Linked DNA regions of Nothobranchius furzeri. The protein of the gene in region 1 purifies or fractionates together with the protein of each later gene. This does not show direct contact. Links are inferred from orthologs where the notes say so. Each region holds a gene or a part of one and is shown in the gene's direction. Other genes may lie near its edges.

What was found.
Region 2: the proteins of drg1 (region 1) and ntmt1 purify together in Homo sapiens (affinity purification with mass spectrometry; 3 studies listed by BioGRID and IntAct, counting the BioPlex papers as one, with this or other methods). This does not show direct contact. The link is inferred for Nothobranchius furzeri from reciprocal best matches to the Homo sapiens genes DRG1 and NTMT1.

What each region holds. Positions count from the first base shown.
Region 1 is NC_091746.1:51,121,135-51,129,477, forward strand, and holds the start of drg1 (developmentally-regulated GTP-binding protein 1), read left to right. Parts: upstream 1-2,917; 5' UTR 2,918-3,068; coding exon 3,069-3,107; intron 3,108-4,809; coding exon 4,810-4,933; intron 4,934-5,079; coding exon 5,080-5,255; intron 5,256-5,331; coding exon 5,332-5,401; intron 5,402-5,748; coding exon 5,749-5,918; intron 5,919-6,355; coding exon 6,356-6,486; intron 6,487-6,996; coding exon 6,997-7,164; intron 7,165-7,250; coding exon 7,251-7,373; intron 7,374-8,343. UniProt on the Homo sapiens protein: Catalyzes the conversion of GTP to GDP through hydrolysis of the gamma-phosphate bond in GTP. Appears to have an intrinsic GTPase activity that is stimulated by ZC3H15/DFRP1 binding likely by increasing the affinity for the potassium ions.
Region 2 is NC_091746.1:70,919,384-70,927,898, reverse strand, and holds the start of ntmt1 (N-terminal Xaa-Pro-Lys N-methyltransferase 1), read left to right. Parts: upstream 1-4,267; 5' UTR 4,268-4,372; intron 4,373-5,365; 5' UTR 5,366-5,372; coding exon 5,373-5,531; intron 5,532-7,242; coding exon 7,243-7,495; intron 7,496-8,515. UniProt on the Homo sapiens protein: Distributive alpha-N-methyltransferase that methylates the N-terminus of target proteins containing the N-terminal motif [Ala/Gly/Pro/Ser]-Pro-Lys when the initiator Met is cleaved.

The sequences.
Region 1 (8,343 bases):
GAAAAATGTGCGCAACTTTAAGTTGACTAAGAACCTTGCTTACGCACATTTTGGACATGGAGAGCACCTGCAGTGCTGCTGCTGAGAAGGATAAAATTATGAATTCCAGCAGCATTACCACTTGTACTGCTTCGTGCGCACACAGAACGAGTCCCCCCACACGCGCACACACACCCGCGCACGGACACAAAATGCTGCAGCAAGCCGGCTTATGTATATGCATGAGATTCACAAGGCATTTTGCACTGGCCATTTATGGCAGAAAGTGGGTGTGTTGAGGGCGGGATGTGACTAAAAAGCAGCTGAGAACCTCTCTCGTAAGTCTGATTTATAAAGCAGAGATTGCCGTCAGCTGCATGTTTTATACGTCACAAACCTACTTGGCGTAAGTACATTTTTTTTGCTGAGCTTAAGTACGGTTTTAGTAAGGATTCTACGCAATGTTTTATAAATGAGACCCTAGAACTGTATTAGAATGTTTACTTTGCGAAGTACCTTCAGACGACTCTTGTCACGCTATATTACAGTTTTTCTCCATTGGTTTGGCTCATTTCTTGAAACAGAAATTACATTCTCAAAATAATATGGACAAACCTCCAAACCTCTTGGAGGTGGCATTTCTGATGGCATTTCTCATTCATTTTATCAAATGGCAAATGCCTTAGTACATGTCTCAATTGTCTCAGTGCATCTTTGCAAACGATTAAGTACATGTAGCCTACAGTTATACAGTTAGCCCACATTTAGCATTTTCCAAATAAATAGATCTTGTAGATCTAAACCGATTAGTTGATTCTCAGTCTAATGATCATTCTCTCCAAAACATGTCAGCATGATTACATTGTATAAGTACTCGCATGCACAACTGTCTGTTCAATTGTCAGAATTGGTTAAGAATATAATACCATGAATACCGTTTATGAATTTCTTTGAATATTTGATACATTGATGACAGTCATTGACATCGACATATAAATATTGGACAATGGGTTTCCATAGACTCCAATAATAAGTTTTTGAGCTAAAATGGGAGGTAGCCACCACCGCCATTTTGACCGTGTCAAGGTTCCTTCAAGCCCAGACAATTCCACAAAAGGAAAGAGAGGTGGAGCTGAGGGTGGGGCTGTAAGGCTGGGATCAACTGACGACACCCGGTCGAACTAGCTACAAGCTAACCTGAAGCTAACCCAAAGCTAACGCGGAGGTGGGAGCTAAGCTAACGGAGGTAACAACCTAGTTACAACCGGAGTTAACTGTGCACAACAACAGAGCTTCTGAGTCAGAGATACGCCGGGCTGACCGCTGGGTAAAACCGGGTGGAACACAGAGGTCTCCCGAGAGCTCCACAAGCCAGCAGCCGCACAGCAGACAAGCGCCGCTGCGATCTGAGATGCGCAGGGCTGCCGCTGGGGAGAACCGGGAGGAAAGGTTTCCATCCCAGAGCTCCACAAGCTGGCAGCCCGCGCAGCAGACAGAAGCCGCGATCAGACAGAGATGCGCCGAGCTGCGGGGAGGGAAGAACCGGGTGGAAAACATCGGTCTCCCGAGAGCTCCACAAGCCGATTGTCGGAACCCAGCTCCACCAACATGTTATATTTCAACCCATTTTCTAAAGTGCAGCATTATGTTAAATGCACTGGGTTTTACCCTATTACATTTAAATTTCATGGTTAATCACTACATGTTAAAATCTAAGCTCAGCTCGGCAGTGACCTAAAATACATAAATATAATTTTACTTACCGAAAAAAATGAAGTGGAGACTCCTTGGACGCTCTATTAGTGCAATTAATACCACAGCAAGTCTTTTTGTCCAACAATTGCACAAAAAATATCCAAAAAAGAATGTACAAACACAGAGACTCAAAATCCTGGAACAGTTTCCAAGCCAGACCGAGGCTCTACTGAGAGCTAGCTCTATGACTTTGAACGTCAGTTGAGAGTCAGTCTCATGCCAGACTGACCAGTGAAGAGAGGGCCTCAAGTTAAGACCCTCTCCTCATTGGTCAGTCCACACAAGGTGGGTCAAAGGTTACCCTGAGCAGGTTACATGATGTCAGGCATTCAAGTATTGAGTATATTTACTGCATATTACAGTAAAATATTCTGTATGTGACCATATTATGGTGATCCTTGGGTCATGATGATGGGGCCCTTGAATATTGTTGCCCAGGGTACAACAAAGTGTTAATCTGGCCCTGCTCCTGCCACCAACAGAGCAGCTGTTTTGGGGAGTTTGCAAAGAAAATGTGAACTTATCGCTATCATAATCATTCTGTCCTGTTTTGCAAAATACTGCGTGCTTTTTGTTTCTTTTACTTACAAAACTGAAACACAACTGTGAAATTATTTATCACACTGTTGGACATACTTTATATCTCTTGGCTCTCAAGCATTGATGCAATCTTATTAAAGCAGAGTAAATAGGATAAACATGTATGCCTTACCTTGGTGTGAAATATAATAAAACTGCCCTTTTTCACCCAGGTTGCAGGTCTGTTTCTCTTCTAGAGTAATGAAAACTGCTGAAAAAAAGTCTAAATCATAATCAGCTTTGAATTCAATTTCGATATACATTTAATCAGATGATGAGAGATGTGTTCTAACTTGTAAACAACAATATTTATTATAAGCTCACATTTGACGTTTTTTATGTAATTTTATAAAAGAAAATGAAGCTGGTATGTTGCAAAATAGGACAGAATGGTTATTGTAGCGCTAAATTCATATTTTCTTTTTTAAAACTCCTCAAGACCTAGGCTGTAACCCTGTAGCGAGGAAAGACGGTTCCTCTTACATTAAATAGCCAATCGCAACAGAGCCCATCCAGCTAATCAGAGGCGAGAAAAGCGGGACGTCATACGATTCCAAATGACGTTTACGGCGAGGCTACGTAGGGAAGGTCTTCGATCTCGCGAGACTTTCCGTGAATTGGCGTAGCCGCGTTTGTGTGGTGTGTGTTACTGTACACGCTAACTAAACCTAACCACCTAAACTTTGTCATATTTGTCGGTAAACCTCTCCGGTATACATAGTTAAGGTGAAGTGGTCTTTAGAATCAACGTAACCATGAGTGTGCTTGCCAAAATAGCAGAGATAGAAAATGAGGTAAGGCGAAAGTTGACGCTTTAAACCCTTCGAGTCTGTCACGTTTAGTTCACATAGCTACTGCTAGTCGCTAACGCTATCTCATAAAAGAAGATCCATTTTAACCTATATTTGACTGGCCCCGCATCCCTGACAGTTTAAGCTGTTAAAAAAAGAAAATGTATTTCAGTGTTCAGTTTAGTTGTCACTTATAGATGAATAAAGAGATTAATGTCAGTTCACAGATGTTGGCAACGCATATGCTAAACCGGTTCTAGCTTAGATTTGAATAACTGATTAATTTAATCTGTTAATTGCTTTAATATTATCGTTATTAACTGACAGATGCGCTGAGTTGACAATATCGAAATGCACTGACGCGAAAACGGCACCGGACCAAATTTTTGTTTTTAAGCCACTCTGAGCGTACAGGCATCAAATATAATTCAGATACGTGTAATAAATGGTTGTTTGTTGGTAATCTGTTATAAAAGTACAAATTGTCTCCAGTTCTTTAGAGTGCTACAAAATATAAAAGCAGAGTTAGAATTAGGGGTAGACCAATATATATAGGCCGATATTAACGGTTTTTTATACATCAGTGTTATTTGTCTTTCAGAAAGCCAATTTAAAGTCAGGCACATCCTCAGGCAGCCCGGTGCTGTTATAGAATTTAATCTAAATGTATTTTTGCATTCACTAATAAAATCTGCATAATAAATACTCTAACTTTATATAGTTGCCTCACAGTGCACAAAGTTAACAGTTATGGGCCATTCCCATCTGTACCGGGTCGGCCCGGGCCGGGTAGCGTAGGTTGTTTACATATCTGGGTGGTCTGGTATTTTTCTGGGCCAAACAAGGCTCATTCTCAGCCCTCTTCTCAAGGGGGTCTGCTTCAGGCCGACCAGGGCCAACACACCCACTGCTGACAGCAAATTCACACCTTCCATTAGAGCAAGCCTCTGATTGGTGGGTAGAATCAGCCCACATGGGCTTAAGACAAGAATGTGTGGAATCAACCAGGCCAGGCTGGGGCCGACTGGGGCTACCCGGCCCGGGCCAACCCGGTACAGATGGGAATGGCCCATTATTCGTTAAATTTAGAGATCAAAAACTGCTTCAGAAATTTTGTGCATCAACCGTTATTAGTGACAGTTAAGCATGAAAATCAGGTGGAAAATGTCTAGATATTGGCTATTTGAAATCGGGCCATAAATATTGGCAATACATATTGGACATTGGCTGAACTTGTCTCCTACATTTCGGCAATAGAAAAACAAATATCAGTAAATAAAGATTATTACAAGAAAATCAGCTTCCTAGGAAGCAAACCTGAAGAAGTTATGCGTGGTTTAAATGTTTTGAACAATGCTACTACTGTATTATTAAATAAACTTTTTCGAATAATCTAAATAAGTTGGTGTAATGAAATAGATATCCATCTTTCCATCAAAACTAATATTTTTTCTGCAATATCTGTATGCTGTGTGTAAAGTCAGATAGAACACAGATATGTATGACCTCCTATAATTATACTGAGCTCATATTAGGCACCCATCCAGTCTTCTTAAAGTTTCCTTTTAATTTTGAGCAAGCCATGAATCAAAATTTAGACATTTCAAGTAATTAGCTTCTGTTAAAGTTCTACTTTGAAAGCAATAAAACGGTCCAGCTAAATGTTTTACTTCTTATTTCATCATGCACTCTGGTGTTACTGTAGATGGCCAGGACACAGAAGAACAAGGCCACAGCTCACCACTTGGGTCTGCTCAAAGCACGTCTAGCTAAGCTGAGGAGGGAGCTCATCACACCAAAAGGCGGGAGTGGTGGTGGACCTGGAGAAGGTAGTCTTACTATATTGTGTATTTAATTCACAAATAGCTCCAATTCAGGAATTGTTTCTGAGGTTTCTCTCCCATGAGGCATTTAAATTTATGTCTGTTTTTATCCATAATTACAGAAATTCAGGTTTTTATTCTCTCACATACAGGTTTTGATGTGGCAAAAACCGGCGATGCTCGAGTTGGTTTTGTTGGCTTTCCTTCAGTAGGAAAGTCCACCCTGCTGAGTAACCTAGCAGGTGTGTACTCTGAGGTTGCAGCATACGAGTTCACAACGCTTACAACAGTTCCTGGGGTCATTCGGTATAAAGGTGCCAAAATTCAGGTACAGGAAAATGTCTTCCAGTCCTGAGATATTAAAGTGGTGTTTCATTGGGTTGAGATTTATTTTTTCTTTATAGCTCCTGGATCTTCCAGGAATCATCGAAGGAGCCAAGGACGGCAAGGGTAGAGGCAGGCAGGTCATTGCAGGTAGAGTTTTATTAGATTTCTGCTAAAGCAAAAAGAAAGCCACTGATGTTATAATTTTGGAATTTAACTGAAATCAGAAATTAACTTTGAATAAAAGGTTTTTTTTATGAATTGCTGTCAACTAGACCTAACTTGTGTGTTTATAACCTAAAACACGATGACTTATTGTAAATGTTTTATTTATAACTGTTTCATGTTCTTAGAGGCCTTAGCAGGGTTTCTGCAACTATCTAGCTCCTAAAATAGCAAACAATTGTGCAGACATGGCAAGCTTTATTCTCTTGCATCATTCCAACTGTATCTAATAAAACAGAATGTTATCTTTCCTCTTTCTGTTTTATTCTCAGTGGCTCGAACCTGCAATCTAATCCTGATAGTGCTGGATGTGTTAAAGCCTCTTCTTCATAAGAAGCTAATAGAACATGAGCTGGAGGGCTTTGGCATCCGACTTAACAAACAGCCTCCCAACATCGGGTTCAAAAAGAAGGACAAAGGAGGCATTAACTTCACCGCTACAGTACGTGATGCTTGGCACAACGGCGCAGGGATGAAGGGCTCATTTTCATCGTAATCCGCAACAGAAACGAATAAATACTTTCTTACATGTTTTAATTTATAATAATAATTTTGAATGATCAAAACAAAAATGTGGTTCGTCTAGATTAATGTAACAGAACAGAAGAAATTATTCATCAGACTGTTGACAGGTAACTGGGGCATGTAACCTTACATGTCTAGTAAAGTGCAGCTTTGTCAGTGGTTTATAGGGAGATAACAGCTCTACAGCTATTGTACAGTTAATAAGAAATGTGGTTTGATTGCATGATGCTGTTTCTTCATGCTGCTTTTGGGCCAGTGTGTACATTTGCTAGATTTATTCACCTTTAGCATTTTCGTCATGCCTTTTTCTCTGCTTCACATTTTCCCTTTCATCATCTCTCCGTGTCCTATTAGTGTGCTCAAAGTGAGCTGGATGGTGATACAGTTAAGACCATCTTGGCCGAGTACAAGATCCACAACGCCGACATCACCCTGCGCAGTGATGTCACAGCTGATGACCTGATTGATGTGGTGGAGGGAAACCGGTAAGCTGTCGTTCCCTGCGGGTGTGGCCTGTTGGAGTCTGAAATTGCACATGGGTTCCTTCTGCACCACTGCAGATGCATTCAATACAGCGTTTGGTGTTTTAAACAGTCTTGCTCATTGAAAAATTATGCAAGTTAATGTAAAACACAGCAATGAAATGTTGAATGAGAACTTTTTACTAGATATAACCACAAAACCTGAAAGTGCATCATTTTATTTTAAAGATGCCGTTCATGGACTGATCTTAACGTGTCCGCAGGGAATTAAAACATTTATGCTGCTTCTCTTTATTTTTGAAATTTTAATTGTTTGCCATCCAAACTCAATTCATACCAGTGAGAGACTAGATGCTTTTGCAAGAAAAAAGCACCTCAGGTGAATTGAAAATGTCTTTAGTGACTTCTAGAATGCCTAGGATCCCTTTAATGAAGTTGATGTAATTATCACCTATAGTGAAATGGGTAAAACAGGCAAAATTGATGATCACTGACTTTGTCAACTCCCAACAGAGTTTACATCCCGTGCATCTATGTGCTCAATAAAATCGACCAGATCTCCATCGAGGAGCTTGACATCATCTACAAAGTTCCCCACACTGTGCCCATCTCAGCCCACCACCGCTGGAACTTTGATGACCTGCTGGAGCGGATGTGGGACTATCTACAGCTTGTGCGCATGTGAGATTAAAGGGCTAAAAGGCATATACAGATTAAAAAACATGATTACTCATACTGTAACACCTGAGGTGTTGTGTTTATTGCAGCTACACCAAACCCAAAGGCCAGCTGCCTGATTACACGTCTCCTGTTGTACTCCCGAATGGACGGACTTCAGTGGAGGATTTCTGCTTGAAAATTCACAAAAATCTCATCAAGGAATTAAAGTAGTGAGTACTGTAGACCTTACAACATTATAATTTGTAATTTGCTTTGCCTTTAAGAAGACTTGCGAACAGGAGACGTGGGCTGCAGAACAGTTTTAGCAGACATCAATTCTTCAGCCTAGTTTATGCTTCAGCTCCATGTGGAAGAGACGCACACATTGACGGAGATGTTTTGCCTTCGGACTTCTCCTTCTCTTGGGGAGTGTAGCAAAGCAGTTCCCTGCCAGGACAACAGAGGGCGTAGCGCTTTTCTGAGGCATCCTGGCATGTATCCGATAGTGCATTTACTGTTGTTTTTTGTATTTCAGAGACTTTAACACAGACAAATTTGTCCTTCATTCTCCTCCACCTCTTCATGTCCCTGCCACCTGTAAACTCGTGTGTCCATCCACAAATATAAGCGCTTGCTGCTTATGTTAATACTCCTCCTGTGACAGACGTATAAAACCTTCATGTTTTTAGAGTTTTTCCACGAGGTATTCTTCAAGCTGCTCCATTTGCTACTAGATATTGTTGGCTCTCTTTAGTGCTGTTGACAAATTTAATAGAAGCAGCGTCCTGACCAATCACAAGCTTGCATTCTCAGTTTCGTTCGACGGACGTTTAGAAAAGATGGCTCGAGTCTGCCCGTCATTGTGAGCCTGTTGGAGAGCCCTTGCAACGACAGATAATGGGGTTGCACCACGTCTCCGCACCGACGCATAAACTAGGCTTAAAAAGACAAAAATGTAACATTACATTGCATTTGTCAGAGTCTCAGCATTACTCATTTATTTAAACCAAATAGCATTCAAATCAGGCAGAACTGATATCGATATTTGCCATTAAGTCCAATATGGTGTTCATTATCTGTATTACTAAAACGTAAATGATACAACTGTACCAAGTAGATTTTATTAGTATTCTAAGCAGCTTGGTGGGGAGGAGCAATAGGAAATATTTTAAGAGAATGCAAATGAGGCAGATTTCAAGC
Region 2 (8,515 bases), about 20 Mb from region 1:
ATATTGTATATATATATATACATATTGTATATATATATTGTATATATATATACAATATGTATATATATATATATATATATATATATATATATATATATATATATATATATATATATATATATTGTATATATATATTGTATATATATGTACATACATTTTATATTTTAGCATATTGGCTCAAAAACATGATTAAAAAACATGAAAAAGTTGCTAAATATTTATAATGATTCCAGATAAATGAGCTGTTGTAACTTTTGCTTTGTTTCAGAAAAGTCAGTGAGAAACAGACTACAGATGTTCAAATTTAACTCTGTAAATTTGTTTAATCTAAACAAATGCTGGATCTCTGAGTGTTAATAAAATAAAAACTCCTTTTGTGCCTTTTAAACAAAAACTAATTCCAAGAAGAACCCGTCTGGATCCTCGTTTCGGCTCCAGTTTATTTATTTCTTCATTCTCCAAGAGGGAGGAAACAAGGGATGGAAGCCTGGATGGATAAATGAGAAGAATCCTGATTAGATAAATCCCCGAGTGACAGGGAGCAGAAGAGAAGGTCTAAATGAAAGAGAAGGGATCACCAGGAGGGAATGTGTGGAGCGCCAGAGCTGTAGAGGGAGACGCAGAGGGGAGGAGGAGGAGGTGGAAGGATCAATATCTAATTTCAGTGCTGAGCTCAGGTTGGACGCTTTTCCAATAAGGCCAGAATGGAAGAGCAAAGTTTGAATAGGTGTGTGTCTCTGGCCGTCCTCACATCCATCTGCTGCAGGTCTGAAGCCTCTCCAGGACTCAGGCTGGTTCTGAAAGCTAGGACCGCTCCAGCTGATTTAGTCTGGACCACAGAGGGTTTAACTCACCAATCAGATTCAGGAGAAAAACACTCAAACCTGCAGGTTTGTTTTATCATGGAGCTGCAGCAAAGGGAGGTCCTCGCTAAGGATGTCCAGGATCATCCAGGAGCTTCTGACCAACAGGATTCCTCTGGAGCATTCAGGTGTGTGTCAACACGAGGAGGAAAAACACTAGCTTCCACTCCGATCCCAAATCAAGTCCAAGTTTTCCTAACAGATCAGTAGATCTCATGTTTTTATGTTTACCCTACAGGATGAGTGGTGGAAAGAGTTAACCAAGGCCGGTTCACACGGCAGGATAACTATGACCATTTTTTACCTGACCCCCCCACCCCCTCACACACACACACACACACACACACACACACACACACACACACACACACACACACACACACACACACACCTCCAGTTACAGTTACAGCTGCAGTTACATTTCAAATGTTCCCAGGCCAGCTGGCTCAAGAATACCAATGGGCTCAAGCTCAAGTCACGTGACAGAAGGACAAGTCATGTGACTTGACCCCAAACAACTGTCAATGAGAGTCCACTTGGAAAGGTCAAAGGTCATTTCCTAACTGTCTGGACTCCAACATAACATTTGGGTCAGTCGGAGAGGATGTCCCAGCAGGTCCGGCTCCGTCTCAGACTCTACAGTTTAAAGGTCAAAGGTCAGGGTTAGCAGGAGAAAAGCTCTTTGAAAGAAAGACTTCTGTTCACCCATAGCAGCGGATCCCAGCTGTCAGCACAGTGGTGGAGGTTTGATGGTTTGGGTCGGTTCTGACCCAGCAGCACACTAATGGCTTCTGGAGTCAAATATGAGCCTTTCTGAGTAACGCTTGGACAGAACCGAGCCTCAGAGCAGAACCAGAACCTCCTGTTGTTCTAAACCCGTGAAACCCCCCCCCCCCCCCCCACACACACACACACAAACTGTCTCCACTTGCCCTCTGAGGCTGAAGCTGCTTAAATCAATCCTGCGTTAATAAAATGGACGGATGGTATTTAAACCACACAACCCCCACCCTATGGGTCTTACACAGTCCAGAGAACTCCTTCTCCTTCGTAAGCAGCTCCTGTTCCATCGGCCCGCTGCCCTGAACGTTTCGCCCTTAAGTTATAAAATAATGAGCAGTAAGATAAATAACAGTTTTTTTTCTTTCCAGAGGCATCTCCGAGTTTATTCCCTCTAATTCCTGGCTCCTTCACCGGTCTTTAAGACCTTCAGATTCCCAAAGACGCTACAGAGGACACGGCCTGAGCATGTTCAGGAGCGACGGTGCCTCCTTACGGGTCTGAAGCAGAACTGAAACATGTCCTGTGAGTTTTAGCTCCATTATCAGCTCTTTATTATATCCGCTTAAACAAGAAATGCTGCTCGAAACATGAAGAAAAGCCCAAACCATAACACGTCCCCCACCGTGCCTCGCAGCAGTTTCAATTCAGCTGAGTTTGAGCTGGAAGAACAGGCTAGAAGAAGAGGTTTCACATTGAAGGGACAGTCCAGCCCCTCTGTGTTTCTGTGTAAATTACATAAGTGCTGCAGAAAACTTCCTGAGGTCAGGACTGACGTGCTAACAGCTAGTCTGAGTGTGTTTCTGTCATCCTAACTCAGCTCTGATCCTCTTCCTTTCACAGAGTGACCTTTACACTGACGTTACTTTGACAATATTGATTATTTACCTGGAATTCTGTTGTTTACATGCATACAATAAACATCACCAACAGGAGCCTGATGGAGCTGGGGGTGCGAGCGAGTCCTTCAACCACGGAAAGGTCTCTGGGACAAGAACAGCTTTTATTGACATTTGTGAGTAAATCCACTGATGACTCTGATTACATAGAAATATGAAACGACCCTGAAGGAAGCGTTTTTGGGCTCATGAACCGGAAGGATCAGCTACTAGAGTGTTTCCTGCTGAATCGAGCCTCCAGAGTTGTGGAAACACCAGGAGAACGATTCAACCTCACGGATCGATAATCAGCCTGATCTGAAGAGTTGTCTCCAGCTGAGGAACATGGGCTGAAACAGGCATTAGATGTTTGTTCTCAGCTATAAATCACCTTAGTTCATGCATGGTTTCTTGTCTGCCTGAAGAACGCTGCTGATGCGTTTGATCCTCTCACTGAACTTCTTGGTCTCTCCTTCAGAGCAGGAAGAAGCTGATATCTAGCACCGAACCGTCAAGCTGAGCCGAATTCACTGTGAAGGATTATTTATAACTTTATTGTTTGTATTTTTGCACTGGAGCTCCTCTCACTAGTGGCGGCAGGACTTCATGCTACCTTCTGCTGCTTGATGCTGGGATGCTCAGGATTCTGGGACTGAGGGTCTGGATGTGATTAATGTCTGATGTTCGGAGTTTGATTCTCTCAGACAAAAACAAGACACGCAGGAACTAGGCGATTATTCTGGTGCAGAAACCTTTGTGGAAAGAAGATGTGGTGATAAATCAGCAGGATGAATACTTACACAAAAAACATGACAGAAAAAATCAGGAAACAAGATGAAAGTTCATAGCTCCACACTGCCCTCAAGTGGTTATTCGGTAGATCTGCACCTGTGAGCAGCGCTGTTCCTCAGTCGGAAGAGATCAGTGACGCTGCTCCAACAAGTCCAATTAACTAAAAACTGCTGCATTGTTGTTTTAACCCATTTTAATTGTATATTACATTTAAGCCACATGGTTACCATGGTTACACGGGTGGTGTTAATGAACCAGATGTTCAGAGCTCTGATTAAAATAATAAAACACAGGCTAAAAGGATGACCTAAAAATCTCTGAATACCTTAAAGAAAAGAATGAAATGGACGTAAAAACCAGCAGAGACATCACAGCCGTCGGCTGTCAAAAGCGTGTCTGAGGAATCAGCCAGGTCTAAATCCTAAAAGGGTCCAGAATCCAGTAGATGGAGGCCAGAATGAAATGACTTGACCGTTAGGCTTCCCAGCCACTGGAAAAGCTCAAAACTCACGTGAGGGTCTGGGAACACACTGGGATGGTCCAGGAGGGCCTGTTACCTCAAAGGAAGGATGGATGGATGGATGGATGGATGGATGGTGGATACGTTTGTCTTAATTAATGTGGGAACGTTCAATCTTCTAATCTGCCAAGCAGCTCAGAGAAAGAGTGAATATTGCCGGGACACCGCTGGTTGCTACCCACACGTCTTTCTCTGTTGTTCATTCCATGGAGGAAAATTCACGAGTTCTACCTGTGGAGGTAACTAACCATAGATATCATAATTATTAATATATGATATCTAACTAATCATATTTATTAGTCACAAGCATCGTTACAGCTGAGAAATAATCAACCAATAATAATAATAAACACCCAAACACGCATTCTGCTCTGTTTCTACTGGAATAATAATGTTAATTGTTTCCGGCAGGGGGCGCTGCTGCCACGTCTTCATGTTAAAACCAAATAAGGAAATGACGTCCTGCTCGAGTTCCTCAAATAGAAAAGTGAGTAAAAGCTGCCGACGAGGTCAGGATAAGTCCTGCAGACACACACCAGGTAGGTTAAATGGTTTATCATCACTTTAATGAAGTTGGGAGTCGGAGTCTTTGTTTACCCGCGGAGAGGGAAGCTAACGGGGGTTAACAGCTAATAGGTCTAAAACTCTGTAACGAACCAGAAGTACCTGCTATGCTCCTTTAGCTAGCAGTAGTTAGACTTTATTTGTTTGGTTCATAAGTTAGTATTTTATATTAGAAATGCGTTATCTTTATAAATATAGTTGTGTTTTGTTGTTAAACTGAGTTTAAAACAGCAAGCTGGGTCCGACATGCTGAGCTCGTGTTCTTCTCTAAAGCACTAAAGTGTTATTATTAGCTTTAATCTGACTACATCAACGAGTCATTTAAAACCGGCTCGAACAGGTGGTTCGGTTGGTGCTGCAGCTGAATCCTCTGACCTGGTCCCAGAATGAATTTATATATATATATATATATATATATATATATATATATATATATATATATATATATATATATATATATACATATATATATATATGTGTATATATATACATATATATATATATGTGTATATATATATATGTGTGTGTGTGTGTGTGTGTGTACGCGTTTTAGCAGCACATTGATTGTGAAAGACAACTGAACACTAAATGTGTGCAATATAAATAATAAATATAAATAAGTCAATAAATCTCTTGATATTTATTGAACTTTAAATATAAAACAAACTCAAAGCTGTTAAAAAAACGTGTGTTGAGGTCCTCCGGGTCTTTTCTTCAGTCTAGTAGTGGTGGCAGTTGCCCACACACGTGCCTGATTAAAAAAAAAAAAAAAATTATCGGCTTTTTAAAATAATTTCAGTCGATGGCCGATAGACAAAATTTAGTATATTGGTCAGCCAGTGATGGTGATTCCTCTTGGCTTTGAACTGGATAATCCCTCTTTTCCATCTGACCTCTCCCTCATCTGAGTGGATTTCATAAACTCATAACTGTTACGTATGGCAGCTAATATTTCTTTTTGTGGACAGGGACAGGATGGGGGACATCGTGGAGGATGAGACCAGCTTTTACTCCAATGCTGAGGACTACTGGAAGGAGGTTCCTCCCACAGTGGACGGGATGCTGGGAGGTTACGGCAGCATTTCCAACATAGACATCAACGGGTCCAAGGCTTTCCTGAAGAAGTTCATCAGAGTAAGGCACTCAGCCTGAGTTCGGACAAGTAGTAGTAATGAAATAAAAAAATCACGTCCTGACTAGAGAATGCATGAGATAAGGATACATCACTAATTTAGCTTGATATGATTTTTCTCAGGACAAGAAATAATTACTGGTAATATTGTATGTGGTGTAAGTGTAATAAATACATTAAACAGCAGAGTCCCGGGAGATAACCGCGGCAAGCCCACAGGCCCGCCTGCAGCCTCCCTCCCCCAAGCTGGCCGAGCCCAGGACCCAGTGCCCCTGGACCCAGTGCAGGTGTCTTCTGGTCTACACCAGCTGATGCCACCACACAGTCCCACTCCACCCCCACACCCCTCTGTGTCTAAGTGCAGTTTAAAATTGGAAGTGGGCACCGGCACTCGGGGTGAGGCTGAAGGATCCCCCTGCCGAATGCCATTGAGTGTGCTCACTCCCAAGGCCCTAAGTGTGTGTTTGCGTCGGTGGAAGTGTTTAATGTGCAAATAAACTTGGGGGGCAGGTTGCCACAGAACTGTGGAAATGGGATCCATACCCGCACCCCCTAATTTCCCCACCCCTCAAGGTCCCATGTGCATGTTTGTGTGGTGATGTGAGGGAGCAGTAGGAGGAAAATGTTTGGGGATGGGGATGAATGGCTGGGGGGCCGTAAGCCCTCCAAGGAGCCAGCTCCCCCACCGACCCCAATAGGCACCTCCGTTCCCAAAATGCCACCCGGGGCATTGGGAGACCCCAGCCCATCTCGCCAGGGCCCCACGGAGCCCGAGGTCACTGACCCAGCCCCACCCCAGCAGAATATCTACTCCCATCCCTGAATTTGCACAACTTCCAGAATATTTAAGACATGAGACATCCAAGTAAGGCTGGGTCCTCCCCCTCATGAACACGGAGCAGTCCCGGTAGGTGCTGGTTCTGCTGCGTGTGTTCACTTTCACTGTTGCTTTGGTCCACTCATTTGTTTATTCTGTCAGCAGTGTTGGAGACGTCTTCACGGTGGGTTAATCGCAGCGTCTCACACCGTGGTTAATAGTCAAACGGTTAATCCTTGCAGTCCTAACCGCAACCGCTTTAAAAAACTCGAGAATTTTGCCCACCGTCGTCAAATTACAATAGTGGGCGCTGCAGTATTGGCTCTCAGGAGACACGCCCCGCCCACACTGATGGTAACAGTCGTTACGTCCCTCCTGCCTTTGTTTTGAAAGGAGAAACTATGGCAACCCAGCAGCTGGATATGAAACATGTTTCAGTAGAACCTTCCCTTCACTATATTCTTACATACTGCACCTTTAACATGTAAACATGGTGTTTCTGACACGATCAAATAAACAAGTTAAGCCACATAAATGTGTTTATTTACACAGGAAATGATAAAAGGGGCTTTAGATTTGGGTTTTACGCTTAATAACATTTATTTAGTTTTCAAACGCCGTCAGTTCAGCGTCGTTTCACATCATTCTGGAGTTAACATCCAGAAACAAAAACCCAACTCTACCAGTGACAGTAAGCCCCGCCCCCTGGTTCTAGCTGTGCTCTTGGACCCTGAGGTTCTGTAGTTGTGTTTTCCTACAGGAATAACGGTCTTCAGCACCGAGTCCGTAAATAAACGAACCAGTCGGTTGTTTTGGGATGCTGGACGTTGCTGGAGTTTTTCCCTGATTTGTGTCTCAGCCTTGTTCCCTGCTGGACTCTGTTCTGTCTTCCAAAGGAAGGCGAAGGGAAGACCGGGTCGGGCTGTGCTCTGGACTGCGGCGCCGGTATTGGTCGGATCACCAAACGGCTGCTGCTGCCTTTGTTCCAAACCGTGGACCTGGTGGACGTGACCAAGGAGTTCCTGGACAAGGCCAGGTCGTACCTGGGAGAGGACGGGAAGAGAGTGGAGAACTACTTCTGCTGTGGACTGCAGGACTTCGTCCCAGAGACGGGGCGGTATGATGTCATCTGGATCCAGTGGGTCATAGGTGAGTGTATCTAAGATCAGCATGTTCAGCGAGGTGTGCAGTTACGTCCAAATCTGACGTGTAAAAGCAGTCGCCTGGAAAAGGTGATGGTGGGATTGTGTCAGGTGGATGGAGGAAGTCGCGGTGTTCCTTTTAGTGTTTTCCTTCTGCAAAGTTGATGTTTTATCTCCACTATTAACATGAGCCTGGAGGAGTTCTGCTGTGTGGTGGAGTTGCTGATGCTAACAGTTAGCTCCTGCTAGCTGAGATGTCCTCTGCTGTTTCACTCTAAAATACTTATCTAGTTATTTTAGTTTATACTAGGGTTGGGACAAATCATTTGACCTTCGGCGATGGGCTGAGCCGTTACGTTTTTTTTTTACAGGAGGTGATTTGTTTGTTTGTTTGTTTGTTTGCCCGTGAGTTAGTTTGTTAATGACAAATATTTTACATTTTACACACAGAAAACATATCAGAGGTAACAATCAAGAAAGGATTTCCATCAGTGCATCTGAGCACTTTCTCACCTCCTCCGCCTCTCACTGCTGACAGTGGGCGTGCAAGCGGCGCGCTGAGGAGGAGCGTCTGACGCCCTCGACGTCGTGCACAACAGCGCGGTGTTGAGTGGAAATCCTATCTTTCAGACTCTGGAGGACTTCTGGTTATTTCCTTTGGAGAAATGTTTCCTGATTTAAATCTTTGGCTGAAGTAGCGCTCGTGGTTATCTGGCTCCTGATTCGTTCATTCAATTCAGTTTATTTATAAAGCACCAAATCAGGACGAGTCGTCTCAAGGACCTTCACGCAGTAAACAACACAGGTCAGGTCATTAAGCCAATCAGTAACAAGTTTCCTATATAAGGAACCCAGCAGGTTGCATTGAGTCACTGACTAGTGTCAGAGTGTTTACAGCAATCATACTAAGCATGCAGCGACAGTGGAGAGGAAAACTCCCTTTTAACAGGAAGAAACCTCCAGAGAACCCTGGCTCAGTATAAGCAGCCATCCACCACAACTCACTGGGGATGGAGAAGACGCAGAC